7 linked regions of the Macaca mulatta genome follow. Each later gene encodes a partner of the first gene's protein in a complex. Links are inferred from orthologs where the notes say so. Each region holds a gene or a part of one and is shown in the gene's direction. Other genes may lie near its edges.

Evidence for each region.
Region 2: SNRPF (region 1) and GEMIN2 share a complex: the UniProt entries of both Homo sapiens proteins name them as parts of the SMN-Sm complex. The link is inferred for Macaca mulatta from reciprocal best matches to the Homo sapiens genes SNRPF and GEMIN2.
Region 3: SNRPF (region 1) and PRPF3 share a complex: the UniProt entries of both Homo sapiens proteins name them as parts of the U4/U6-U5 tri-snRNP complex. The link is inferred for Macaca mulatta from reciprocal best matches to the Homo sapiens genes SNRPF and PRPF3.
Region 4: SNRPF (region 1) and PLRG1 share a complex: the UniProt entries of both Homo sapiens proteins name them as parts of the minor spliceosome. The link is inferred for Macaca mulatta from reciprocal best matches to the Homo sapiens genes SNRPF and PLRG1.
Region 5: SNRPF (region 1) and RBMX2 share a complex: the UniProt entries of both Homo sapiens proteins name them as parts of the minor spliceosome. The link is inferred for Macaca mulatta from reciprocal best matches to the Homo sapiens genes SNRPF and RBMX2.
Region 6: SNRPF (region 1) and PRPF6 share a complex: the UniProt entries of both Homo sapiens proteins name them as parts of the U4/U6-U5 tri-snRNP complex. The link is inferred for Macaca mulatta from reciprocal best matches to the Homo sapiens genes SNRPF and PRPF6.
Region 7: SNRPF (region 1) and SRRM2 share a complex: the UniProt entries of both Homo sapiens proteins name them as parts of the minor spliceosome. The link is inferred for Macaca mulatta from reciprocal best matches to the Homo sapiens genes SNRPF and SRRM2.

The regions. Positions count from the first base shown.
Region 1 is NC_133416.1:103,187,234-103,191,358, forward strand, and holds the start of SNRPF (small nuclear ribonucleoprotein F), read left to right. Parts: upstream 1-1,325; 5' UTR 1,326-1,447; coding exon 1,448-1,450; intron 1,451-3,426; coding exon 3,427-3,552; intron 3,553-4,125. UniProt on the Homo sapiens protein: Plays a role in pre-mRNA splicing as a core component of the spliceosomal U1, U2, U4 and U5 small nuclear ribonucleoproteins (snRNPs), the building blocks of the spliceosome.
Region 2 is NC_133412.1:112,231,110-112,234,609, forward strand, and holds part of GEMIN2 (gem-associated protein 2), read left to right. Parts: intron 1-2,159; coding exon 2,160-2,273; intron 2,274-3,500. UniProt on the Homo sapiens protein: The SMN complex catalyzes the assembly of small nuclear ribonucleoproteins (snRNPs), the building blocks of the spliceosome, and thereby plays an important role in the splicing of cellular pre-mRNAs.
Region 3 is NC_133406.1:116,809,743-116,813,242, reverse strand, and holds part of PRPF3 (U4/U6 small nuclear ribonucleoprotein Prp3), read left to right. Parts: intron 1-332; exon of another isoform or gene 333-338; 5' UTR 339-380; coding exon 381-525; exon of another isoform or gene 526-563; intron 564-1,098; exon of another isoform or gene 1,099-1,178; coding exon 1,179-1,309; intron 1,310-2,976; exon of another isoform or gene 2,977-3,072; intron 3,073-3,500. UniProt on the Homo sapiens protein: Plays a role in pre-mRNA splicing as component of the U4/U6-U5 tri-snRNP complex that is involved in spliceosome assembly, and as component of the precatalytic spliceosome (spliceosome B complex).
Region 4 is NC_133410.1:163,136,380-163,139,879, reverse strand, and holds part of PLRG1 (pleiotropic regulator 1), read left to right. Parts: intron 1-1,756; coding exon 1,757-1,849; intron 1,850-3,404; coding exon 3,405-3,500. UniProt on the Homo sapiens protein: Involved in pre-mRNA splicing as component of the spliceosome. Component of the PRP19-CDC5L complex that forms an integral part of the spliceosome and is required for activating pre-mRNA splicing.
Region 5 is NC_133426.1:136,863,525-136,867,663, forward strand, and holds the start of RBMX2 (RNA-binding motif protein, X-linked 2), read left to right. Parts: upstream 1-1,339; 5' UTR 1,340-1,354; coding exon 1,355-1,359; intron 1,360-1,570; coding exon 1,571-1,686; intron 1,687-3,138; coding exon 3,139-3,190; intron 3,191-4,139. UniProt on the Homo sapiens protein: Involved in pre-mRNA splicing as component of the activated spliceosome. As a component of the minor spliceosome, involved in the splicing of U12-type introns in pre-mRNAs.
Region 6 is NC_133415.1:116,870,815-116,874,314, forward strand, and holds part of PRPF6 (pre-mRNA-processing factor 6), read left to right. Parts: intron 1-914; coding exon 915-1,033; intron 1,034-3,500. UniProt on the Homo sapiens protein: Involved in pre-mRNA splicing as component of the U4/U6-U5 tri-snRNP complex, one of the building blocks of the spliceosome.
Region 7 is NC_133425.1:4,059,704-4,063,203, reverse strand, and holds part of SRRM2 (serine/arginine repetitive matrix protein 2), read left to right. Parts: intron 1-305; coding exon 306-578; intron 579-1,453; coding exon 1,454-1,561; intron 1,562-1,758; coding exon 1,759-1,923; intron 1,924-2,444; coding exon 2,445-2,522; intron 2,523-2,951; coding exon 2,952-3,014; intron 3,015-3,106; coding exon 3,107-3,139; intron 3,140-3,322; coding exon 3,323-3,373; intron 3,374-3,500. UniProt on the Homo sapiens protein: Required for pre-mRNA splicing as component of the spliceosome. As a component of the minor spliceosome, involved in the splicing of U12-type introns in pre-mRNAs.

The DNA.
Region 1 (4,125 bases):
GTTACCTGCTGGGCCTGCTTCCTCATCTCTAAAACGGGGCTGTCACCCCGAATCAGACGGTAAGGTAAGATTTCCACAATTGTTGAAAGAGCCTGACACATAGTAGGAACTCAAAGTCTGTACAAAGACTTAAAGTTCATGAAACAATATACAAACTAAGGAAGAAATCCACTTAAGTTTAGGGTGAATAAATCTAATAACTGTTTGGTAAAAACTACACTGACAATGACTGTCTTGTCAGTGTTCAACACTTATGTGAAACACTGAGCTTTTACAAGGCCAAGCCCCGTTTTAGGTTAAATTCTCGCAACCACGCTGAGGATGGTTCCGTTTTTAAAGCCGCGTTCCTGCCGTGGAAACAGTGGCCCTGAGGGTTAAGACACTGCCCAACACCGGCTGCGCCTGATAGACGCAGGTTCCGAATGCAGGCCCTCTCCAAAGTCTTGCCCACTGCTCCACAGTGCCTCAACAACCAACATTTCATCCTCAACCTCAAATCCATCTCTTCAGGGCCGCAAAAAAGCGTTACTTCCCAAAGGGCGTGTTCTCCAAGAACTGCATTTAGCATTTCAGATCAGAGTGAGCCGAACTCACTAGGATTACGACAAAAACCAGTGAGATTCAGATAACACCGTTACGTCGAAAGTTTTAATCCGTGACAGCGGAAATATTGCTTACGCCCTTAGGTAATTTCAAATGCACGTAAGAAGGCCGTGCCAGTCTCTGCTGGCGATGCAAAAGAAAGATGGGGCCGGCGGGGTCGTGGGGGGTGGGGGGACATGACACCGTATCCCAGACACAACCTGACCTCGTTTAAAATAAATTCTGTATCCGACTCCCTTCGGTGCGTTTCACCGCCCCTAGTCTTGTCTGGCTACCCCCGAATTCCTTTAAAAGGGGTTGAAATGGGTGTTGCAGAAGAGAGAATACTCAGGTAGAAACGGCCTGCGGCAGAGGCGCCCCCAAATCATGGAACCTGTTGGAAGAGTGAGGAAGGAACTCTGGGATCCTGAACATTCTCACGGGTGTAAAAAGACAAAGTAAAATCCCCATTAACCAAGTTGGGGAGAAGTCACATCCGTCACACAGCCTCTCCCAGACCGCACATTTACAACACCGGCCTGCCTCCAGTCCTTGGCTGCCTCACCTTGCTCCTCAGAGCGGGTTTCCCAAGACCCGCGCGCAGCCGGCCAGGCGCAAACTCAAGCCGCTGCTGGTTGCCAGGAGATACTGGTCCAACCATCTCCTCCAATCAGCGCGCATCTCTTTTCGTCCAATCACAGAGGCAGGAAGGGCCGTGGTGGGAGGTGAAAGGTCACACTCCTGTTTGGCGGCCATTTTTCTTGAAATTCAGCGGCTCGGGACCTGGGGTACCTGCTGTAGTCACGAGGGACAAGCGGCAGCCTGGTCGGCAGTGAGTAGCCTGCAATATTCGGCCGTGGTTACGATGGTAAGGAGAACGAGAACGGCGGGAGAAGCGGGGAGAAAGAGAAGGAGGGAGACCACCTCGCGGGGCCTAGTGGTTGCTTCGCGCGTTTCCCATTCATCCGCGTGAGGCGCCGCGCACCCGGTCGCCAGCTTCTTTCACTCTGCTTTTAGGATTTCTGAGGCGCGTGCTCCTCCCGATGCCTTTCTTTTTCTAGGAGTGCCCGTGCCTTCTCCTCTTTGTTTGAATCCGGGCTTGGGATATTCTTATTTGTGGCTACAGGGTCGGGGTAAAACTCAAAGAGAATTTGCACTTCCCACTTAACCACACTCCAAAATTCACTTTCATTGCATGAAAGTAATGATACGGCCATGCTCTAGTTTAACTCGGTTGGGGAAGACAGACAGTCAAAAAATAACAAATATGCAATTGCAAGTAATAAGTGCTAAGAAGAATGCAGACAGGAGGCTGTGAGGGTGCGCGTTAGACATTTAGAGGCTTAGTCAGAGATGGCCTCCCTAGGAGGTGGAATTTAACCTGAAGCCTAAGTGTCATGAAATAGACCCTTTAAAGAGCAGGAGGAGGAGTGTACCGAGCACAGAGAATAGGCGCATAAGACCTGCGGCCGGAAAGAAAGCTTGGTCAGTTGGAGAAATTGACAAAAAGGTACAGCCACTTGCAGGAAGAGTGGTTACGAGATGGTGTCGGAGGAGCAGGCGTTGGACAGGACCTCTTAGGCTGTATTGGGAGGTTTTGATTGTACTCCAAATCAATTGAAAATGATTGAGTTGGAAGCCATTGAATCATTTTAAGCAGAAATATGACAATTTGATGTGCACTTTAAAAAATCATGTTGCTGTGGTGGATAATAAATTGGAGAATGAAAACTGGAGACCCATTAGGTTATTGGAGTAATCGCCGCATCAAGTCACTCCGAATATGTTTATGTTAGAGGGGGTTAGTAGCCAAGTTTCTTAGTTCTGTTCTTTCTTTGACTGGTGAGTGAGCAGAAAAAGGCAAAAACCGAATTCACTGGAGATGTTAATGGTTTGCTGAGCAAACTTTAAGTGATTGCTATAAGAGGCAGTGCTAGTGACAAAGTCATTTAGGACCTAGCCCTAGCTTCCACAGTTAAAGACTGTCAAGCGTCATCTGCCCTCTGCTTCCTTCTGTAGTCTTATATTTGGGACTTTGACTGACAATGCTGAATTGTATGTCCCCAAAATCACCTTGTTGCTTCACTCTTCCCTCCTTTTACATAAGTAGCTAGCCTTGCCTGGAACAGGATTTTTTCCCGCTCTGGAAATAAATTCTCATTCTTTAAAACTGAGGTTAACTTATTTCAGGCAACCTTTCCTTTTTTCCCTGGATTGCTTCGGTACCCTTGTGCCTAGTATATCTCCTCTTATTATGTTGCAATATGCAGTATAATTATTTGTATGTGAGGAGCCCCCCTCCCCATCTCCAACTTCTTGACAGGGACTCTGTTATTTATTTATGACAAGGTCTTGCTCTGTTCCCTAGTAGCCGGGACTACAGGTGTGCACCACCACATCTGACTATTTTTGGTAGAGAAGGTGGTCTCACTATGTTGCCTGGGCTGGTCTTGAAATTCTGGCCTCAAGTGATCCCCCTGCCTTGGCCTTCCAGAATGCTGGAATTACAGATATGAGCCACCCTTTCTGGCCCGCATTTTTTTTTTTTTTAAGTGCCTTTATCTTTGTTTCTTTAGAGCTCAGAACAGTAAGTGATGTATGTAGTCGGTGTTATCTTAAGTGAATAGTGAGTATTTTGTTTTGATGGGTTAAAGGTGATACTGGCTAACTGGATATTTAAATTTCCCTGGTACTCTCCAATAAATGAAAGTGAAAATTGTGTACTAAAATAATGAGTCAAGAGTTTTCTTCATTTGCATACCACAAAATATTGGTATTTAGTAGAAGAGAGTTGGTGGTGGGAGGAAAAATAATTAATTGGATCCTTTTTTGTTCTTTGTGCAGAGTTTACCCCTCAATCCCAAACCTTTCCTCAATGGACTAACAGGAAAGCCAGTGATGGTGAAACTTAAGTGGGGAATGGAGTACAAGGGCTATCTGGTATCTGTAGATGGCTACATGAACATGCAGGTAAGCTAAAGAGCTGTAAAGGTCATAACATTGCATTTAGTTTGCTTCACCTTATTGCTCAAAGGTTTAGTCTGACTAATAAGAATACATACAATTAAATTGACAAATGTACGGCAAAATTAAAAAATAAAGTCAAAGCCAGGGAGGATACTATGATATACTAGGTACAAGACATGGACTTAAACCAGAATTCAGCCACAGATTTTATTCCTAGTAGTTAAAGTAAGAAGAGCTCAGACATTTAATTCATAATAATACTGTAAGGGAAACACACTACTTTGCTGGAGAAAACAAAACATTTCTCATCATTTAGCCCTGAAAGAAAGTTTTCAAGTGAAATTCATGAGTCTTTTAATGAATGATGCTAAAGGCACAACACCAAAGTTATTGAGGAAATTCATTCCTTCAGGGGAAAGACACATCTGCCGAAGAAATTGAACTGACTGTATGTCTGTCAAATGAGTTTCTGTAAATGATTCAGCCATGTGTTTTGGTGGGGTTTTTTTTGTAATTAATTTTCTTTTTATTGTGGTAAAATATACATTACAATTTTGCCACTCTAACCATTTTTAA
Region 2 (3,500 bases), on another chromosome or scaffold:
TTCATGCCTGTAATCCCAGCACTTTGAGAGGCTGAGGCAGGCAGATCACCTGAGCTCAGGAGTTCAAGACCAGCCTGGGCAACATGGCAAAACCCTGTCTCTATTTAAATTATTTAAAAAATGAAGTACACTCTGATGGCAACTGTGTGAAAACATAAACATTTGTTTATTAATTGATATAAGTAAGCATGTACTATATTTAATAATTAGGATATTGAGTACTAACTGAAACAGAAACAGTTTCTGACCTGATGGAATGATAGGAAAAAGTAGATACCTTATTCCAAGACAAGACAATAGGGTTTAACTTTGTAGTGGTCTCATGTTCATCATGAGGTTTTATTTTATTTTATTTTATTTTTTATTTTATTTATTTTTTTGAGATGGAGTTTTGCTCTCATTGCCCAGTCTGGAGTGCTATGGCACAATCTTGGCTCACTGCAACTTCTGCCTCTCGAGTTCAAGCAGTTCTCCTGCCTCAGCCTCCCAAGTAGCTGGGATTACAGGCACCCGCCACTACACCCAGCTAATTTTTCTATTTTTAGGAGAGATGGGGTTTCACCAGATTGCCAGGCTAGTCTCGAACTCCTGACCTCAGATGATTCATCCTAAAGATTTAATGAAAGCTACTTATCCCTGGGTGGGGATAATACACCTATGCAGAGTAATGTGCAAGGTGATATGTACAAATAAAAGTTGTTTTGTTAAGAAGGTTATATTGAACTGAATGCTTCTCCCAACTAGTCCTGAATTTTCTGTCTGGCAGCATGAGTAGATCTGTTTCTTCTTTGATTGGACAGCCCTTCAGATATGTGAAATATGTAATCACATCTCTTTACATGGGATAAACATCCTTCATTCTATTAAGCATTCTTGGTGCATTTTTCCTCCATACTTATTGCTGTCTTTATCATCCTCTTTTGGACACACCTTTGTCTGTCAGTGTCCATTAAAGTCTTGTCCAAACTAAACACATCTTGGCTGGGCACTGTTGCTCACACTTGTAATCCCAGCACTTTGGGAAGCCAAAGCAGAAGAATTGCTTGAGGCCGGGAGTTTGAGACCAGTCTGGGCAACATAGTGAGACAACTATCTCTACAAAAAAAAATTAAAAATTATCAGGCATGGTGGCGCGTGCCTGTAGTCCCAGCTACTCAAGAGGCTGAGGTGGCAGAATTGTTTGAACCCAGGAGATTCAGGCTGCAATGAACTGTAATCACACTTCTGCACTCCAACTTGGGCGACATAGCAAGACCCTGTCTCAAAAAATGTAATAATAAGAAAAAGCAACATATCCCACATATTTTGTAGCCACTTAGGCACTATGTTTGTCAGGGCTGCCATAACAGACTAGGTGGTTTAAACCACAGAAATGTATTTATTTTCTCACAGTCTTGAAGGCTGAAAGTCCAAGAACAAGGTGGCAGCAAGGTTGGTCTCTCTTTTTTTTTTTTTTTGAGGCAGAGTTTCGCTCTTGTTGCCCAGGCTAGAGTGCAATGACACAATCTCGGCTCACTGCAGCCTCCGCCTCTCGGGTTCAAACGATTCTCCTGCCTCAGCCTCTGGGTAGCTGGGATTACAGGTGTGTGCCACCACATCCGGCAAATTTTTTTGTGTGTATTTTTAGTAGAGGTGGGGTTTCGCCATGTTGGCCAGGCTGGTCTTGAACTCCTGACTTCATGTGATCCGCCTGCCTCAGCCTCCCAAAGTGCTGGGATTACAGGCATGAACCACCACACCCGGCCTCATTTTGGTCTCTTCTGAGGCTTTTCTCCTTGGCTTGCATAGGGCCACTTTCACCATGTCTTCTCACGTGGTCTTTCCTCTATGTGTGGGAGTCCCTGGTGTCTCTTTGTGAGTCCAAATTTCCTCTTAAAAGGACACTAGTAAGATTGGATTAGGGCTCACCCTAATGGCCTCAATTTAAATTAATCACTTCTTTAAAGGCCCTGTCTCCAAATACAGTCACATTCTGAGGTACTGGAGTTTAGGGTTTTAACATACAAATTTTGGGGACAGAGATTCTCCCCATAACTGGCACCCTATCTTTGGGTTGAGGTAATGGGAATATGGAAGGCCTTAACTTCTTTTTTTTTTTTTACTGTTCAGTGTAAAAATTAATACACAGGAATAAATCAGTTTTCTTTTTTTTCTTTTAGCCAAAATCTGAAGATGAAGAAGGCTGGAAGAAATTTTGTCTGGGTGAAAAGTTATGTGCTGACGGGGCTGTTGGACCAGCCACAAATGAAAGTCCTGGAATAGATTATGTACAAGTAAGGGCTGTGTGGATAAACAGAACAAAAAGCGTTTTAATTTTGGTGCATCACTTAATATAAGGGGTCAGCAAACTCTACCCTGGGCCAAGTCCAGTTCATGGCCTTTTTTATATCCATGAGCTAAGGATTGTTTTTAGGTTTTTAAAGAGTTGTAAAAAAGAAACAAATAATATGTGGCTGAGACTTTATGTGGCCTGCAAAGCCTAAAATATTTGCTGTCTAACTCTTGATAGAAAATGTTTGGCAACCCAGACTTAGTTTATTAGCTCTTCAACCTAACAAAGCAGCTTAGTTTCTGAAACAGTTTACTGTGACTTTTTTTAGGTTGGCTTCATATCCCTTATGTTTGACTTGGTAATCATTTTATGAGTTGGATAAGATTCAGGGTGTTTTAAAATGACAAGGCATCAGGCAAACAGTGTTATGAGTAGCCAGGGAAAAAATGGAAATTGACACAATTAGGTGCTTTAAAATGCATAATCACATAATATCATTTCATGGGCCTGTAAAAAAGTAAATAATATATTCTAAAGATGAAATTTTAAGGATATCTTTAAATTCATGTGGCTGTAGTCATAAGTTATGTAGCCAACTCATTGTCCTTCAGGATTTACCTGCCCCCAAGTTTGCAGGTGTTCCTTTAAAATCCAGTGTATGCCTCTGCATTAGCGCTTACTCCCTATAGCATGTCGTTCTCTTCGGTTCAACAGGTATTTATTATTTGCTATATGGTGCCACATTGTGTTTTTCCCATTTAAAACTAATTTTTCCCAAAAATGTAAAGAGCCCCAAGAATCAATAAAAAGACCAAGAATCACCCCTCCCCTGCCCAAGAAAAAACAGCCAAAGGATATAGATACCTCACAGAAAGGAAATAAAATTATTCTTATATGACAAGATGCCAAAAATCACTTGTAATAGAAGTATAACATAACTATGCCAAGGTGCTATTTTTCAGGTAACATATTGGCAATGAAAGTTTGATACACCATATTGACAAGAGCTGGGAAAACAAGCACTCTTAGACATGGTACAGTAGTGTAAATAGACTCAAATCTTAGGGAAGTTAATTTGATACACTTTCTATGTAACCAATTGATCTTTTGGATGATATCCTTAATATATGCTACATTTCAAAAATAGTTTATATATATATATATATATATTTTTTTTTTTTTTTTTTTTTTGAGACAGGGTCTTCTGTCATCCAGGCTGGAGTACAGT
Region 3 (3,500 bases), on another chromosome or scaffold:
TTTTTTTTTGAGCCAGAGTCTCACTGTCACCCATGCTGGAGTGCAGTGGTGTGATTTTGGCTCATTGCAAGCTCCACCTCCCTGGTTATTCCCCTGCCTAAGCCTCCGGAGTAGCTGGGATTACAGGCTCATGCTACCACGCCCAGCTAATTTTTTTGTATTTTTAGTAGAGACAGGATTTCACTCTGTTGGCCAGACTGGTCTCTGACTCCTGACCTCAAGCAGTCCACCCACCTTGGCCTCTCAAAGTGCTGGGATTACAGGCATGAGCCACTGCACCCAACCCACTTTAGTTTTTTCTTATTCTCTAACTTGTCTCTTTTTGTTTTTAGGTGTAGTATTGAGTCCAGTTTGAGCTATTGTTCTCTTTTTCCTGCAAAATGGCACTGTCTAAGAGGGAGCTGGATGAGCTGAAACCATGGATAGAGAAGACAGTGAAGAGGGTCCTGGGTTTCTCAGAGCCTACAGTGGTCACAGCAGCATTGAACTGTGTGGGGAAGGGCATGGACAAGAAGAAGGCAGCCGGTATGTACCTTTCTGCAGCTTTTGTCTTAACATATAGGGTGACCCCAAACACTGAACTTCCCTAAAATTCTCTCTGTTGGGAACATCTAAAAAAAGGGCAGGCCATATTTTGTTTTCATCTGTATTATAATGAAAATAGGCTAAATCATAATTTGCTTTTTCTCTTATTGTTTATTTTTTATGTTATTTATGATAGATTTTAAATCTTTGGCTACCATACCGAGTCACCTAAGTTAGATTTACTTAGGAAGTATGCTTAAGTCAGATAGGCATATTCAGATTCAGATTGACATCTCAACATATAAAAGTCTTTATGAAATACATAAAAAAGCTTGAAGGAGGTAGATTTTGTTAATGGTAGTCTCCTGCAACTTGCTATTTGGGAAAGGTTAGGGTGGTTATTCATCTTAAACTTGATGTTCAACGTAAACAGGTTGCTCTGACTGTACGACTTCCCACTCCAAAAAATTATAACTATTTTCACCTCATAGGGCAAGGTCATTCAATGTAAGAGAGATGGGAATCGTAGAAAAAAACTTAAAATTTGTTTCACTCCTGGGAATAAAATTCCAGTGTTGGTACCTGTTATAGGCCTAGTATTAGACTATGTAGTCTTACCTTTCCAATCCTACCACTGCCTTTCTTCCTGTCAGATCATCTGAAACCTTTTCTTGATGATTCTACTCTCCGATTTGTGGACAAACTCTTTGAGGCTGTGGAGGAAGGCCGAAGCTCTAGGCATTCCAAGTCTAGCAGTGACAGGAGCAGAAAACGAGAGCTAAAGGTAGGTTACAATTTACTGTCTAATGAGCTCAGGACTGTTTTGAATGGTAACAGAGTTGCTGAGCTTACCAGTTCACACGTTGATATCCTCTATTTAGAGCAGCAAATGTTCAAGAGAGGTACTTAGACATTAAAGTAGGAGAGGTGAATTTGTGTCATCACCATCTGAACTACCTAAGTTCATGGGTTTAAATATCCAAATAAATAATTGGTAGCTTTGTCTTTTTTTAAATAACAGGAGTTTTGGTTCTCATGTTTCTCCATATTTCCTTTTTTTCCTTCTTACCTATAAACTGATTGCTCTAAGATTTTATGTTTGATTTATTTGAGGCCTAATAAGTTGTTTTAGAATGTGACTCCACTGGTACCTGAGCTGTAGACCTCCTTGTTGCCTCTTTGTAGAGGTTTCTCTGCAATGCACTTGTAGATAGGATACCAAAAAAGTAACTATTATTTATTATATTCTTGAGAGCTTACCATTTGCTCTATGGCATATTGCTGGTCCTCTGGTGCCAGAAGTGAAACACTTGGAGGAGTTGTCAGTACCCCCTTAACTACTACACTTTTTATTCTGTAGTTGCTGACTGATCCTGGCCTTTTTCAGTATTAGCAGTATCAAGTAGTCTGTCTTTCTACTCATTTCCCAGTATCTCTCTTTAGAAAAAAAAAATTCTGCGACTCCTATCAAACCTTCCGAAGTTCTTTTGATACCTTGGCTATCCCATTGCTTTTCCTGAGGGAAAAGAGTGAATATAATGTCTGCTTGGTTCCCTGGCCAGGCTATGGAACTAAAAAAAAAACAGAGAGATTTGTGCCCTTTGTGTTTAGAGCATTGTAGGGTGATCAGAGAAGGAGAGATAGTGCTGGCCTTAAAACAGTTTGTAATTTGCCAGGCACTATGGCATGTGCCTGTAATCCCAGCTACTTGGAAAGCTGAGGCAAGAGGATCTCTTGAGCCGAGGAGTTGCAATTTAGAAGAGGCAGGAGTATCACAAAATATATATTTACGTATTATAAAATCTAAGTAGCAGTTTCATGTAAATTTTAGGGTTGGCTATAGAATTTCAGACTTATGTTGAATTTTGTTATATTTAAGGGGGAATGATTGAGCCACAGTATACACAGATCTGTACAGTGAAGATTATGTCACGATAGGGCATACTGCTTTGCTTTTTTTTTTTTTTTTTTTTTTTTTTTGAGGCTGAGTCTCACTCTGTTGCCCAGGCTGGAGTGCGGTAGCACAATCTCGGCTCACTGCAACCTCCACCTTCCAGGTTCAAGTGATTCTCCTGCCTCAGCCTCCTGAGTAGCTGGGATTACAGGCACATGCCACCATGCCCGGTTAATTTTTGTATTTTTAGTAGAGACGGGGTTTCACCATGTTGATCAGGTTGACCTCGAACTCCTGACCTCATGATCCGCCCGCCTCGGCCTCCCAAAGTGCTACAATTACAGACATGAGCCTCTGCATCTGACCAGTAGGGCATACTTCTGTATGAGTGCTGAGGGCATGCTGTGAATGAAGTGACTACATTGGGTGGGATTAATAAAAATGGCTTCTTGAAGGAGGTGTCTAGATAGCTTTGGGATACGGGTCCCATTTTTGGTCCATTCAAGTCCCCACCCCACACAATATATTATGGGAGAGTCCTTTTTCTTGAACTGTAGGAGTTCCAGGAAGCGCTCGCCCCTGGCCGAGGATATGTCCTTGCAAAACACGAGCCCTCCTAGTGAAGAGGGGATGTCACCCAAAGCCTACCACCGGTGTGTACATTTGCTTTTTCCCATTGTCCCTTCCAGTTGGCCACTCTCGGTCCTGTTAAATTCACCTTGCAAATTAGTCATCATATTTGAGTTTCCATTGTTTGATGAAAACAAAGTGTTAATGGGGATTACTGAAGAAGAAAGAGAAAGCCCGTGTCCTGGAAGAGCTTAGACTTAGTTGGGAAAATTATACTAACATTGAAATACTTAACACTTGGCAAACAGAATATCAACAGTGTAATTTAACCTAATATGAACCAAGCTCTTACATGATAAGAGAATGTGAAACAAAAAGTTTAATCAGAGTGGGATAAGGTTGTAATGAGGAAAACTTCTTGGAGGAGGTGAGTTTTAGGCAGGATTTGGAACAGGGGTTGTGGAAAAGTTGAGAGAAATCATAAATGTGGGCAGTAGCATTTGCAAAGACC
Region 4 (3,500 bases), on another chromosome or scaffold:
TTTGCATTGCTTGCCTGTATCAAAATATCTCATGTACCCCATAAATATATTTCTACTGCGTACCCACAAAAATTAAACACAAAATTTTAAAAAAGAAAGTGTACATAGTAGAAAATGTACAACTACACGTAATTTAATATATATTTTCCCCATAAATATATTTCTACTGCGTACCCACAAAAACACAAAATTTTAAGAAAGTGTACATAGTAGAAAATGTACAACTACACGTAATTTAATATATATTTTAAAATTTTTATTTTTCAAATGATTGTACAGCAAGAGCTTTTTGTTTGACATACAGGTCTAATGAATTGTAATAGATGTATTGATTTGGGTAACCACTACCACAATTAGGATATAGACATTACGTCACCTCAAAAAACACCCCTGTGCTATTTTTTTGTAGTTATATCTTCCTTCACCTCTGACAATCACTGATCTGTTTTCTATCACTATAGTTGTCTTATTTTTTTTCAATAATTTCAGTTCTAATTTATTTTTAATTTTTATGGCTAACATAATAGATGTGCATATTTATGGGCTACATATCAAATCTGATACAAGCATACAGTGTGTAGGCCAGGTATGGTGGCTCATGCCTATAATCCCAGTACTTTGGGAGGCCTAGGCAAGTGGATCTCTTGAGTCCAGGAGTTCAGTACCAGCCTGGGCAACACCACAAAATCCCGTCTACAAAAAATACAAAAATTAGCTATGTGTGGTGGTGCACACCTGTAGTTCCAGCTACTCCAGAGGCTGAAGTGGGAGGATCACTTGGGCTCAGGAGGCGGAGGTTGCAGTGAGCCGGGATCACACTGCTGCACTCCAGCCTGGGCAACACAGTGACACCCTATCTCAAAACAAGAAACAAAGAAAAAAAAGCATACAATGTGGAATGATCAAATCACAGTAATGGGGATATTTATCTCCATGGTAATTGGGATATTATTTCTTTGTATTAGGAACATTTCATTTTACTCTTCTAGTTATTTTGATATATACAATAAATTATTCTTAGCTATAGTCACCCTATTGTGCTACCAAGCTAACTAGCCAAACTAGTGCTACCAAACACTAAATCTTACTCCCTTTATCTAACTGTATTTTTATACCCATTATCCACTCCCTCTTTATCCTCTGCCTCCCTACTATTCTTCCCAACCTCTATTAGCCATCATTCAACTCTCAAGATCATTTATTTTTTAGCTCCCATATATGAGAGAGAGCATGCAGTACTTGTGTTTCTGTGCCTGGCTTATTTCACTTAACATAGTATCTTCCAGTTCCATCCTTCTTGTTGCAAATGACAGAATTTCATTCTTTTTAATGGCTGAGTAGTATTCCATTGTGTGTATGTACCACATTTTATTTATTCATTCACCTCTTGATGGACACTTAGGTTGGTTTAGCTTTGTCTTTTTGACTATGTCATATAAATGGAATCATACAAAATGTGCTTTTTGAGATTGGCTTCCTTCACACAGCTTAATACCTTTGTGAGTCACTGAAGTTGTTGCAAGTATTAATAATGTATTCCTTTTTATTACTGAGTAGTATACATTATATAGATGAGCCACAATTTGTGTATCTATTAACTTGTTGAAGATAATTTAATATTGTAAAATATAACAGTCAAATTATCTTTTAAATTTATGATTTGAAGATGGGAGGGCAATTCAAACTCAGGCTGCAGTTAAACTTAAAAACATTTTAACTTGTATGTTAGCCGCCCGTTCTACTTTGTTTTATACAGGTTATCAGTGGGCATCTTGGCTGGGTTCGATGTATTGCTGTGGAACCTGGAAATCAGTGGTTTGTTACTGGGTCTGCTGACAGAACTATAAAGGTAATAATGAGGGAAGAAAAAATAAACATGACTTTGTGTTTGTCATGTAAGTTTAATCAGTTACTATTTCCTGTGGCAGGAATTGCTATTGCAGTTCCTCTGTTATTTTAGACCTGAATAAGGAGTAAAATTTATCATTTATACGAGTAAGTGTTCTAAATAAATATCTGTTTGAAAAGTGGTATTTAAACCACTTTTTCTTTACCTGCTGAATACCTACCACTAATTCCTTTATACTTACATTTTTGTCTCCAACTGGTTACAAAATTAAGAGCGTGCTCATTCATAGAAAATGTGGAAAATATAGAGAATTATGAAAGTACATAGACCTGTGTATAATCCTACCATTGTTAGATACTTGGATAAGTTTCATTTTAGTATTTATTTCTGTAAGTATAAATGCCTTTACTTCTAAGCTCTTTTCTTGTGTGTGTATCTTTTAAAAATCATTCTTAGTATGTAATTTTGTATCTTGCTTTTTCCCTTAACATTTTATCAAAGGCATATTCCTGTGAAAAATTTACTATCTTTTAAAGTGCCTGCATAATATTGTATCATTTGGATAGTCTATAATCTGTTTTCCTATTGTTGGATGGTAGAGTTTTTAGTCTGATTTTCACCATTACAAGTAATGCTGTTAAGTTTTGTATATAAGACTTTTTCTGTGTTTTAAATTATTTTGTTATGGTAGAGTTCCCTAAATGTAATAAATGGGTCAAATATTTTTGAAGCCGATACCCAAAGTACAAATTACTTTCCAAATGGGTGAATGGATACTTGCAGTGTATGGGAGGATCCTTTTCAGCACATTGGTTGTACATTCCTTTACAAATATCTAATATGGTAAGCAAAAATGGATACTTAATCTTTTTTTAAAAGTTTGTATAGGCTGGGCGCAGTGGCTCACGCCTGTAATCCCAACACTTTGGGAGGCTGAGGCGGGCAGATCATGAGGTCAGGAGATCGAGACCAGCCTGCCTAACACGGTGAAACCCCGTCTCCACTAAAAAATGCAAAAAATTAGCTGGGCATGGTGGTGGGCGCCTGTAATCCCAGCTACTTCAGAGGCTGAGGCAGGAAAATGCCGTGAACTCAGGAGGTGGAGCTTGCAGTGAGCTGAGATCGCGCCACTGCACTCCAACCTGGGCGACAGAGTGAGACTCTGTCTCAAAAAATAAATAACTAAAAAGTTTGTATAAAATTTCTAATGAGTTTGAACTTTTTCATATCTGTATTTGCTGCTTTTAGGGTTTCTTTAAGTTGTTGCCATCCTCGGTTAATTTAATACCATACTTTTCATACTATTATTATCAAAGATTCCATTTATATAACAAGAAGGTTAACCTGTCATCTAATTGCAAATATTTTTCCAGTTTGAGCATGCCAGTTTTTTTCTTGCTTTTATTTGGAGAGGAGTCATTTTACAAAATTTTTTATTTTTACATATTCGTTATCTTTTTCCTCTTCTCTTTGAAAACTCAATTTTAATAATAAAGATTCTAAAATTTTGCTTTGCGGTAACCAGGGAAAGAAAAAAAATATTCTTTGATTGCAGATCTGGGACTTGGCTAGTGGCAAATTAAAACTGTCATTGACTGGGCATATTAGTACTGTGCGGGGCGTGATAGTAAGCACGAGGAGCCCATACCTG
Region 5 (4,139 bases), on another chromosome or scaffold:
GACCTTAGCTGCACAGGACAAATCTAGATGTTCAGTAAGGACTGATTGAATCAACCTGACCTACTGGGTGCAGGTACTCTAGTACCTTTCTAGTTAATTTATTCATTTGAGCCTCATTTCTTCCTCTACAAAACGAGGGTGGAAATTTCTTTTACTTTCTCTTTCTTTTTTTTTTAAAACAAGGAGTCTCGCTCTGCTGCCCAGGGTGGAGTGCAGTGGTGCGATCTCAGCTCACTGCAACCTTTGCCTCCCAGGTTCAAGTGATTCTCCTGCCCCAGCCTCCCGAGTAGCTGGGATTACAGGCGTGTGCCACCATGCCTAGCTAATTTTTGTATTTTTAGAGGAGACAGAGTTTCACCATGTTGGCTGGGTAGGTCTTGAACTCCTGACCTCAGGTGATCCACCTGCCTTAGCCTCCCAAAGTGTTGGGATGACAGGTGTGAGCCACCACACCTGGCCCCCCCCTTTTTCCTTTATTTTAGAGACAGGTTCTGCTATGTTGCCCAGGCTGGTCTCAAACTCCTGAGTTCAAGCAATCCTCCTACCTCAGCTTCCCAAAGTGCTGGGATTACAGGCATGAGCTGCTGCGCCCGGCCAGGAATTGTAATTTTATCTGCTTCATTGGGTTGTTGTGAGGGTGGAGAGACAATACATGTAAATTGCTTAGCACATACTCTAGTATCATACAGTACATCATCTGCTCACTTGCTAGCTATTAATTTAACAATATTAATTTCTGTCTCCTGCTCAACTAGGAGAGAGCCTATGGAAAAGAGTAAGTGCAGCGGCTCTCATGCAAATCTGTAGGTATTCAATTCAGCCTATAGAGGCACACTGGTCTGTTGCCTATGTATTGGGATAAGAACAACAGAAGATTTACCTTTTCACCTATCTTCTTCACTTTTCTGCCATGACAGGGATGCTTTGATGGGTCTGTGCGTGAGCAACTGACTAGGAGCGAAGGTCCAAGTGGGACTCTGGACTGGGAGCGAGGGCTGAGACTAAAGTCGCCACATCAGGCTGCTTATTCCGTTCATTCAGCAAATATTTATAGCTAATCTAACCAGTTTCCGATATCGTTCAAGAGCTGGGGGTCCTGCAACAGCCCAGGCTCGTGCCTTTACCCCATTTCACAGAGGAGAAAAAGCGAAAAATTAGAGAAAAACCGTTTCTACAAGAGGTAACTGCAAAGAACGCGGAAGGCTTCTAGTGCGCAGGCGCCACGCCCCGGTACGCCCCAGCTCTTCCGGCGCGAGGTCACCGACTCGACGAGCCACCGGCGCCGGGGCCGCGCATGCGTGGCGCTGCCTTTCCCGGGCGCTGATTCCTGAATGCTGAGCGCGAGCCCGCGGAGATGAAGTAAGGCGTCAGCTTCCTTTTGAGGAACGAGCAGCGGGCCGCTGAGGGTGGTCTACCGGGGCTGGGGTGGTAGAGCGTCTGCGGGGTCGAGGGGCGGGAGAGGCGCGGGGACTAGCACAGCTCGTCCCCTTGTTTTGCTCTTCTTCAGCTTCGGCCGGTTAGCATTTACTTGTCTGCTTTTCTGCCTCCCCTCCCCCCCGCCACCGTGAAGTCCTTTAACTAAGGTGAAGCTGATCAACGAGCTGAATGAACGAGAGGTCCAGCTTGGGGTGGCCGATAAAGTGTCCTGGCACTCCGAGTACAAGGACAGCGCCTGGATCTTCCTGGGTGAGGTGCACATCTTTCTTCCGCAGTGCTCCCAAGATTCTCCTGCTCGGTGTCCGACTATTTCAGCATTTTCACCCTTCACTCCTGCTTACATTCATTGCCCTCCTTTATATCCATCTGCTGTCTGCCCGGGAATCCGTGTTCCATCTTTTTTTTTTTTTTTTTTTTTTCTGCCCCATTTTTAGTTTTCCTTCCCAGCCAAATCAGTGCTCATGAGAGTTACTGTTTGCCATTTGCTGTGCTAAGGTTCAGGGACTGTTGTTATTTCTCTCTCACCCCCTGACCCGTTATTACAGCTGAGGAAATTGGGGTGCAGAGAAGTTAAGGGACTTCCTTAAGGTCACATAGCTAATAACCGCAACAGGCAGAACTATAGCTTTCTAGAACTCATGGTCTTAGCCACAGCCCCATATTGCTACCACCGCCCTCCCCCATTCCCCTTCCCTTGCAGAATTCACTTTGCTCCTCTAGCTCCTGCTTTCTGACCATGGCCACACTACCATTACTGTATTCACTTTATATCACAACCAGTAATTGTACAAGTTTGATGCTTCAAAGAGGTTATTGTAAAAACGTTGTGCTAAGCACTTTATATGCATCGTTTTATTTAACTCTTATAACAGTCTTGCGAGTTACCTGCTAATATCCCCATCTTACAGATGAGGAAAGAAACATTTGGAAGGGAAATTATTCCCTAGGAAATGCTTAACAGTGTCTTTATAACCTTTGTCTATGTGTAGGTGGGGTTAATCATGACATATGTAGACTAATTTTGTATCATAGCTGTAAATTTGTGGGTAATGAGCAGATGAATTCAACATGTTTGTGGAAGCAGAGGTTTGTGATGGAAACTATCTGCTTTGCCCATAGGATTTTGGGTGCCAGGAGGACTGAGTGATCAGTTTACTTTTGTTAGTGGTGACACTGACTTCCACTCAAAATTAGTCACTCCTTTTCCTGTTCTACTGGCACCTTACATGTACTTCTGTCATTGCATCAGACTTGATTTCTTTCTTTCTTTTTTTTTTTTTTTTTTTGAGTTGGAGTTTCACTCTTGTTGTCCAGGCTGGAGTGCAGTGACGTGATCTCGGCTCACTACAACCTCTGCCTCCTGGGTTCAAGCGAGTCTCCTGCTTAAGCCTCCTGAGTAGCTGGGATTACAGGTGCCCGCCACCTCGCCCGGCTAATTTTTTTTGTAGTTTTAGTAGAGACGGGGTTTCGCCATGTTGACCAGGCTGGTCTCGAACTCCTGACCTCAGGTGATCCACCCGCCTTGGCCTCCCAAAGTGCTGGGATTACAGGCGTGAGCCATGGTGCCCAGCCCAGACTTGATTTCTTTAAGGGCAGGGCCTGTTGCTTACTGTTTGCACCCCTAGTGCCTGGCCTAGTGCATGGTACGTAGTAAACACTTGGTAAATGTTGGTGGAACTGAAATGTGGTTTTCTTTTCTAGGAGGGCTTCCTTATGAACTGACTGAAGGGGACATCATCTGTGTGTTCTCACAGTAAGTCCCCTTTCATTTCCTGCCTCCTGAGTCGACAGAGTACTTTTTTCTGTAATGCATTTTGTGGCATCACAAAAACCACTTATTTTCACTCTAGGCTGAATGGCGTCCCTGCATGGGGAGGGCTGGAGCTTCTGCTCTAGTCTAGATCAGTCCCAGGACATGGTTCTAGAATGTTCTCCTGTGGGAGATCCAAGAGGTTTGTTAATTTGGGAGGCCATCTTGGGGATTCTAGTCTATTTCTGTTGTTTTTCACTGAGGTTTGTTCAGCCTGGGCCTAGACTGGAACAGACTGGAACCCTCAGGAAGGTTCCATATTGGTACGCCTCCTTGGGCTCTTGCAAACTAGGGGTAACCCATGGTCACAGGGCCCTTCTGGTCCTTGCCTGTGTGGCATCATACGACTGGGGCAAACCACAGAGGAATTGGGATGAAAAACAGAAAGAAGGTTGTAGTTTGCTTTCTTTGATTCTCAATGAATGTAAGGTTAGTGAGCAAAGCCAATCTCTACCTGGAGGCTGAGAATCACAGCCTGACGAGGAACAAGAATGAATAGGAGATCTGTATATTCTTCATTCTGCTGAGGTGTTGGCAGCAGCATTTGGTGGGAGAGGGTGTTGGTGGCTCATACTGGTAGTAGCAGCTAGTAGGAGAGGGGCTGGGCAGCTGGCCTGCAACCCCAGAGGTAAACAGCACAGTTAGTCCACAGGGCCAGAGGATCTTGGCACAGGTGCAAAGGACCACTACATTTGGGTTTTGTAGGCCTTCAGAGCATAGTACTGTTTCAGAGAAGTTGGACAGCATGTACAGGTAGCAGACCATGGCAAAAGGGGCTGGCCAAGCAAACACAGGTAGCATACACTGGCAGAGGGATTGCTATGGCAGGATGGTAGGGCCATCCATGGACAGAGGGCCCTGGCTGAGTGGTTGGGCCACTTATGGGGCAGCA
Region 6 (3,500 bases), on another chromosome or scaffold:
TTTTGGCTTTAGTGCTTGCCCTCTAAAAAGACATCTACAGAAAAACCTCAGCTGACTGAATATCGATTAACTGTCTTCTAACATGTGACGCCTTTCCTCTGAGGAATATTTAAAAAAATAATTTTAGTTTTGAGGCCAGGCATGGTGGCCCACACCTATAATCCCAGCACTTTGGGAGGCTGAGGCAGGCAGATCACCAGGTCAGGAGATCGAGACCATCCTGGCTAACACGGTGAAATCCTGTCTCTACTAAAAATACACAAAAATTAGCCGGGCGCGGTGGCGGGCGCCTGTGGTCCCAGCTGCTTGGGAGGCTGAGGCAGGAGAATGGTGTGAACCTGGGAGGCGGAGCTTGCAGTGAGCTGAGGTCGTGCCACTGCACTCCAGCCTGGGCAACAGAGTAAGACTCCGTCTCAAAAACAAACAAACAAAAAATTTAGTTTTGAAATAATTTTAAATTTGCAGGAACTTGCAAAAATAGTGCCAAAAAAAAAAAAAAGTTTCTGCATATCTTTCACCAAGCTTCTCCCCATCTTACATGACCTCAGTGCAGTTATTGAAACGAAAGAGTTAACATCGACACAGTACTGTTAACTAATCTGTCAGTCGTATTTGCATTTCATGTGTTTCCACGAATGTCCGTTTTCTGACTTAGGCTCAGTTCAGGAACCCCCGTTGCATTTTGTCATGTCTCCTTGGTACCTTCCAGTTGGAGCGGCTCCTCTGTCTTTCATGCCCTTGACACTTGAAGAGTAGTCACCAGTTATATTGTAGACTGTCCCTCAATTTGGCTTCGTTGGCTGGAGAAAATAATTTAGCAAGTATTTCACAAGTAGAGATGATCTCTGTTTCTGCTGGTGGGGATGGTGATGGAGGAAAAGCTGACCTCTCTGCACATGTCGTTTGCTTCTCAGTTTAATGGCTACGCTGGGAGCCTCTTCTCAAGCGGACCCTATGAGAAAGATGACGAGGAAGCGGATGCCATTTACGCAGCCCTGGATAAAAGGATGGATGAAAGAAGAAAAGAAAGACGGTAAAAGAGATTGTTGCCTTTCACGATGTTTATCCAACTTTAAAAAAAGTTTTGAGGCCAGGCGCAGTGGCTCACGTGTGTAATCCTATCACTTTGGGAGGCCAACGTAGGACGATAGCTAGAGCCCAGGGGTTTGAGACCAGTGTGGGCAACATAGCGAGACCTCATCTCTACACATAATTTAAAAATTAGTCAAATGGTGCACACCTGTAGTCCCAGCTACTTGGGTGGCTGAGGTGGAAGGACTGTTTAAGCCCAGGAGGTAGAAACTGCAGTGAGCCATGATCATGTCAGTGCATTCTAGCCTGGTTGACATAGTGAGACCCTGTTTCCAAAAAAAAAAAAGTTTTGAATTTTTTTTTTTTAATTAGAGGTGGAGTCTCGCTCTGTCGCCCAGGCTGGAGTACAGTGGTGCGATCTCGGCTCACTGCAAGCTCCGCTTCCTGGGTTCACGCCATTCTCCTGTCTCAGCCTCGTGATCCACCTGCCTCGGCCTCCCAAAATGCTGGGATTACAGGCATGAGCCACCGTGCCCTGCCTTTTTTTTTTTTTTTTTGAGATGGAGTCTTGCTCTGTCACCCAGGCTGGAGTGCAGTGGCGCAATCTCAGCTCACTGCAAGCTCTGTCTCCTGGGTTCACGCCATTCTCCTGCCTCAGCCTCCTGAGTAGCTGGGACTACAGGCACCGCCACCACGCCCGGCTAATTTTTGTATTTTTAGTAGAGACGTAGTTTCACCGTGTTAGCCAGGGTGGTCTCGATCTCCTGACCTCGTGATCTGCCCGCCTCGACCTCCCAAAGTGCTGGAATTACAGGTGTGAGCCGCTGCGCCCGGCTGTTTTGAATTGTTTTATACTCAGAGAAACGTTGCAATAGTATGCTTTTAGGCCACCTGAGGGTCTTGGTGTGTCGTAGCCATGCTTGGATAAGCCCTGGGCTGTTACGGAACAGCCTTAGGGGCTGGGGGCTGCAGTGGAGAGCTTAAGAACTCTTAAGATTTTCCAGAAATCAGTAGAATTTTGTGGATTACTTTTATGATACATCAGGGTTACCATCTTTGAAAAGGGCTCACTGACTGTTGATTAATCTTTTATATGTTGAGTAATTTGCAAATGAATTAAAGATGTCAAATGACACATACAAGCTACCAAGATTGAACCATGAAGAAATCCCAAACCTGAGCAGACGAATAAGTAGTGAGATCAGAGCTGTAATAGAAAGAGTCCTAGCAGAGAAAATCCCAGAATCTGATTGCGTCATCGCTGAATTTTACCAAGTATTTTAAGAAGAACTAGTATCAATTCTACTCAAACTATTCTGAAAAATAGAGGAGGGAATACGTCCAAACTTATTCTACAAAACCAGTAGTACCCTGATGCCAAAACCAGACAAAGACACACTGAAAAAAGAAAACGTTAGGTCAGTATCCCTGATGAACACTGATGCAGAAATGCTCAGCAGAATACTAGCAAACCATATTCAACAAGACATTGGAAAGAGGGTTCATTGGCTGGGCACAGTGGCTTATGCCCGTAATTCTAGCACTTTGGGAGGCTGAGGTGGGCGGATCTTGGGTCATCTGAGGTCAGGAGTTCAAGACTAGTCTGACCAACCTCGTGAAACCCCGTCTCTACTAAAAGTATAAAAATTAGCCGGGCATGGTGGCGCATGCCTGTAATCCCAGCTACTTGGGAGGCTGAGGCAAGAGAATCGCTTGAACCTGGGAGGTGGAGGTTGCAGTGAGCCGAGATCACGACATTGCACTCTAGCCTAGGAGACAAGAGCAAGACTCCATCTCAAAAAAAAAAAGATTGTTCATCATGACCAAGCGGCATTTTGCCCAGGGGTACAAGTGCAAGGGTGGTTCAACATATGCAGATGAATCAGTGTTACACGTTTTATCAACAGAGTGAAGGAGAAAAACCATACAATTTTTTTTTTTTTTTCGAGATGGAGTCTTGCTCTGTTGCCCAGACTGGAGTGCAGTGGCACAATCTCAGCTCACTGCAACCTCTGCCTCCCGGGTTCAGGTGATTCTCCTGCTTCAGCTTCCTGAGTAACTAAGACTACAGGCGCCCGCCACCACGCCCGGCTAATTTTTTGTATTTTAAGTAGAGATGGGGTTTCACCGTGTTAGCCAGGATGGTCTTGATCTCCTGACCTCGTGATCCGCCTGCCTTGGTCTCCCAAAGTGCTGGGATTACAGGCATGAGCCACTGCGCCCGGCCTGATCATTTTAATTGATTCTGAAAATGCATTTGATAAAATTCAACATTCCTTTATGATAAAAACTCTAAGAAAACTGGGTGTAGAAGGAATATACCTCAGGCTGGGCGTGGTGGTTCATGGTGGCTCACATCTGTAATCCCAGCACTTTGGGAGGCTGAGGCGGGAGGACTACTTGATCTCAGGAGTGTGAGACCAGCCTAGGCAAGAGGGTTAATACCCTTTCTGGCTGGGTGCGGTGGC
Region 7 (3,500 bases), on another chromosome or scaffold:
TGCTTGTTTGCCTAGGGTGGAAAAAGAAGAAAATCTAGGTGCAGGGAGGGATTATTTAGAATTCTGTGCAAGGGCATTGAGAGAAAGGTTGTAAGAACTGGGCTGTGATTTGGTAGGAAATTTGGAAGGACGAAGAAGTGGTTTTTTTGGCAGACCAGGAGGATGGTGGAGCATTATGTAGTGAAGACTTAGTGTGAAGATAAATGTTGAAATAGGGATGAAGGAGAGCAGGGACTTGGGTGTGGGGTGGTAAGTGGTTAGTTGGGGGCCAGGGGCCTGACCCGTGTCTCCCCGCTCCCCCTCAGGAGCGGTGGTGCCCCCCCCGGGCACGGGGCCATGTACAACGGGATCGGGCTGCCGACGCCCCGGGGCAGCGGCACCAACGGCTACGTCCAGCGCAACCTGTCCCTGGTGCGGGGCCGCCGGGGTGAGCGGCCTGACTACAAGGGAGAGGAGGAACTGCGGCGCCTGGAGGCTGCCCTGGTGAAGCGGCCTAATCCTGACATCCTGGACCACGAGCGCAAGCGGCGCGTCGAGCTGCGATGCCTCGAGCTGGAGGAGATGATGGAAGAGCAGGGGTGAGGGAGAGCTGGGGGAGAGTCAAGCACTGAATGAGTGCAGAGCTGGGGGTGTTAGGTGGGATGTAGGGAGCTTAGGGTGGTTGAAAGAGTCCTGGCAAGGAGTTGTGGTAGGGGAGGAGGCAAATGAGCTCTAGATAATTGAAAACAGTTAAGGGACAGTGCAGAGTGGGAAATGAGAAGGCTGTGTGTCTGAGGCATAGATGGGAGCCTGAGGGATTAAATGGAGGCACATGGGAGAAGGGAGGGGCCGTTGAGGAACAAAAATGTGTTTCAGGGGAGAGATGGGAAAGCAGAAACCAGATAGAGGAGCTAGGTAAGCTGATAGGTGTTGTCATTGGTAGAAAAGAAGAAGAATGGATATAAGGATTGAGACCTTGGAAAGTAGCATGGGCAGGAAAAGAGGAGGAAAAGAGGAATTAGAAGAACATTTGAAGAGGGAATCATGGGCTGGGAAGGGAAATTTTGGAAAAGGAGCACATTAAGGCAGAAAACTCTTTTAGAGCAGTGGTTTTAAACTTCAGCAGTGGTGACCCTTTTATACAGTATCCCTCACTTTGGAATCCCAGGAAATAAAAGGCACGTTCTTGTTGAAGTTGGGGAGGAGCACTTGAAACCCTGCTTAATTTTTTTCTTTTGGCCCCTGAAGTGTAGCATATTTAAAATCCACTGTTCTAGCGGGAGTAGTAGGTAGAGGGAAGAAAGATAATGGGAAAAGATTAGACTGAAGAGAAGGAACTTTTGGGTGACAGCGAGTGAAAACTTCTGTGTGTGCATGGAGAGGGAAGGGCCCCTTTGGGGAATGAGGGAAATGGAAACCTGGGACTGGGGAAAGTGTCCTGTCAAGCTTAACCCTGAAGGGATTTGTTCTTCAGGTACGAGGAACAGCAAATTCAGGAGAAAGTGGCGACCTTTCGACTCATGTTGCTGGAGAAGGATGTGAACCCTGGGGGCAAGGAGGAGACCCCAGGGCAGAGGCCAGCGTGAGTGTTGCACTCTCCCTCGATGACTCTGGACTCTACTCTGGCTGCTGGCTGCCGCTCCCGTCCTTTTCCTTACGTGGGACTTCCTGCTTTCGTCTGCCTTTTCCATGTCTTATTTGGCTCCTGCTTATACTTGTGTTCTGAATATGGCTCTGTCCTTTATATTTCCTTCAGACTTTTGCCCTTCTTTTCTCTAGGGTCACGGAGACTCACCAGTTGGCAGAATTGAATGAGAAGAAGAATGAAAGACTCCGTGCTGCCTTTGGCATCAGTGATTCTTACGTAGATGGCAGCTCTTTTGATCCTCAGCGTCGTGCCCGAGAAGCTAAACAACCGGCTCCTGAGCCTCCCAAACCTTACAGGTATACAAGGCCAAGAAACCATTGTCAGCTTCTTTTCTTGATTGTAAGATCCTTGCTCTATTTTTTTCCTTTTGTGGACTGATTTCTTCCCAAACTCTTCAGATTTTGTTTTTCTGAAGTTGAGGTGTCCAAGAAAATTTGTCCAAGGGCTAGCCACAGTGGGTCACGCCTGTAATTGCAGCATTTTGGGAAGCTCAGGCAGGAGATGACTTGAGGCCAGGAGTTTGAGACCAGCCTGGGCGATATAGTGAGACCCCCTTTCTACAAAAAGAAAAAAAGCTGGGTGGTGGCACGTGTCTGTAGTCTAAGCTACTTAGAGAGGTGGAGGCAGGAGGGTCTCTTGAGCCCATGAGTTGGAGGTTACAGTGTGAGCTGTGATGCTGCCACTGCACCCCAGCTGAGGCAACAGGGCGAGACTATTTTTAAAATTTTTTAAAATACTTTTTTGAGACTGTCTTTTAAAGAAAAGAAAGGAACGTTTGTCCTAGCGCTCATCTCTGCTGCTTTTCATCTTTCCCCAGCCTTGTTCGGGAGTCTAGCAGTTCTCGCTCACCAACCCCAAAGCAGAAGAAGAAGAAAAAGAAGAAAGATAGAGGACGGTAAGTTAATTGGAAAGTTACTTTGCTAGCCAGAGGACCAGTCCTGTGGTGTACTCTCTCTCTGGAAGTGGACAGTTCTGGCTTCCACAAAGCAGGAGATAGTTGTCAGGAGGAGGGAGTTACCATTGAGGCCTCACCTTGAAGAAATATCTGAGTTTTGCAGTGGGGACGTGTTGAGTTTGCAGTGTTGCCAATTAAGATCAGCCAGCAACATTATGGATTCTGGAATTTCCTTTTTCATTTTGAGGTTTGTTGACTCAAGGAGTTACTTGTTGGAGAAGAAAGAAAGAAGTCCTGGGCTTAGGTCTGGGGCATTAGTGCTATTAGGATGTTCAAGTGTTTTAGAAACCTTTTTAGGGGAGAGATTGTAAGTGGGAGGGCCAGGAAAGAAGCCAAGCAGAATGATCTTGCTTCTGAATCCATCTTTAGCAGGTCAGAGAGCAGCTCTCCTCGACGGGAGAGAAAGAAAAGCTCAAAGAAGAAGAAGCACAGGTACGAGGTGTGAGTACTTGAGTGATTGGAGAAGGCTTGCTGAATTCAGGCAGAGGTGTTTTTTATGTTTTTTCTTCTCTTTTTTCCGACAGGTCAGAATCCGAGTCCAAGAAGCGTAAGCATAGGTAAGAGCTCTTTAACTCATTGGGGGCACAGTGGCATGTAGAGTGGTGATTTCTTTTTCTTGAAGTGAAGCTCAATACCTTGATCTTTCTCCTGTTAACATTCCCTAACTCTTTCCATTTCACTTTTGGTTTTATTTCCTTTTTTAAAAAAGTTACTTTTAACAATCTTTCCTTATTTCTCAGGTCTCCCACTCCAAAGAGCAAACGTAAATCTAAGGACAAAAAGCGAAAGCGGTGAGTGAATTTGTGGGGAATTTGCTTAGAAAGTAAGTGAACACCACCTTAGTGGGAAGGGGTTGAGTCAGTTATGTCCCTAACTGGTAAAAGGTTGAGGGGTAGGTGAGGAAAATCCAGGGCAGGT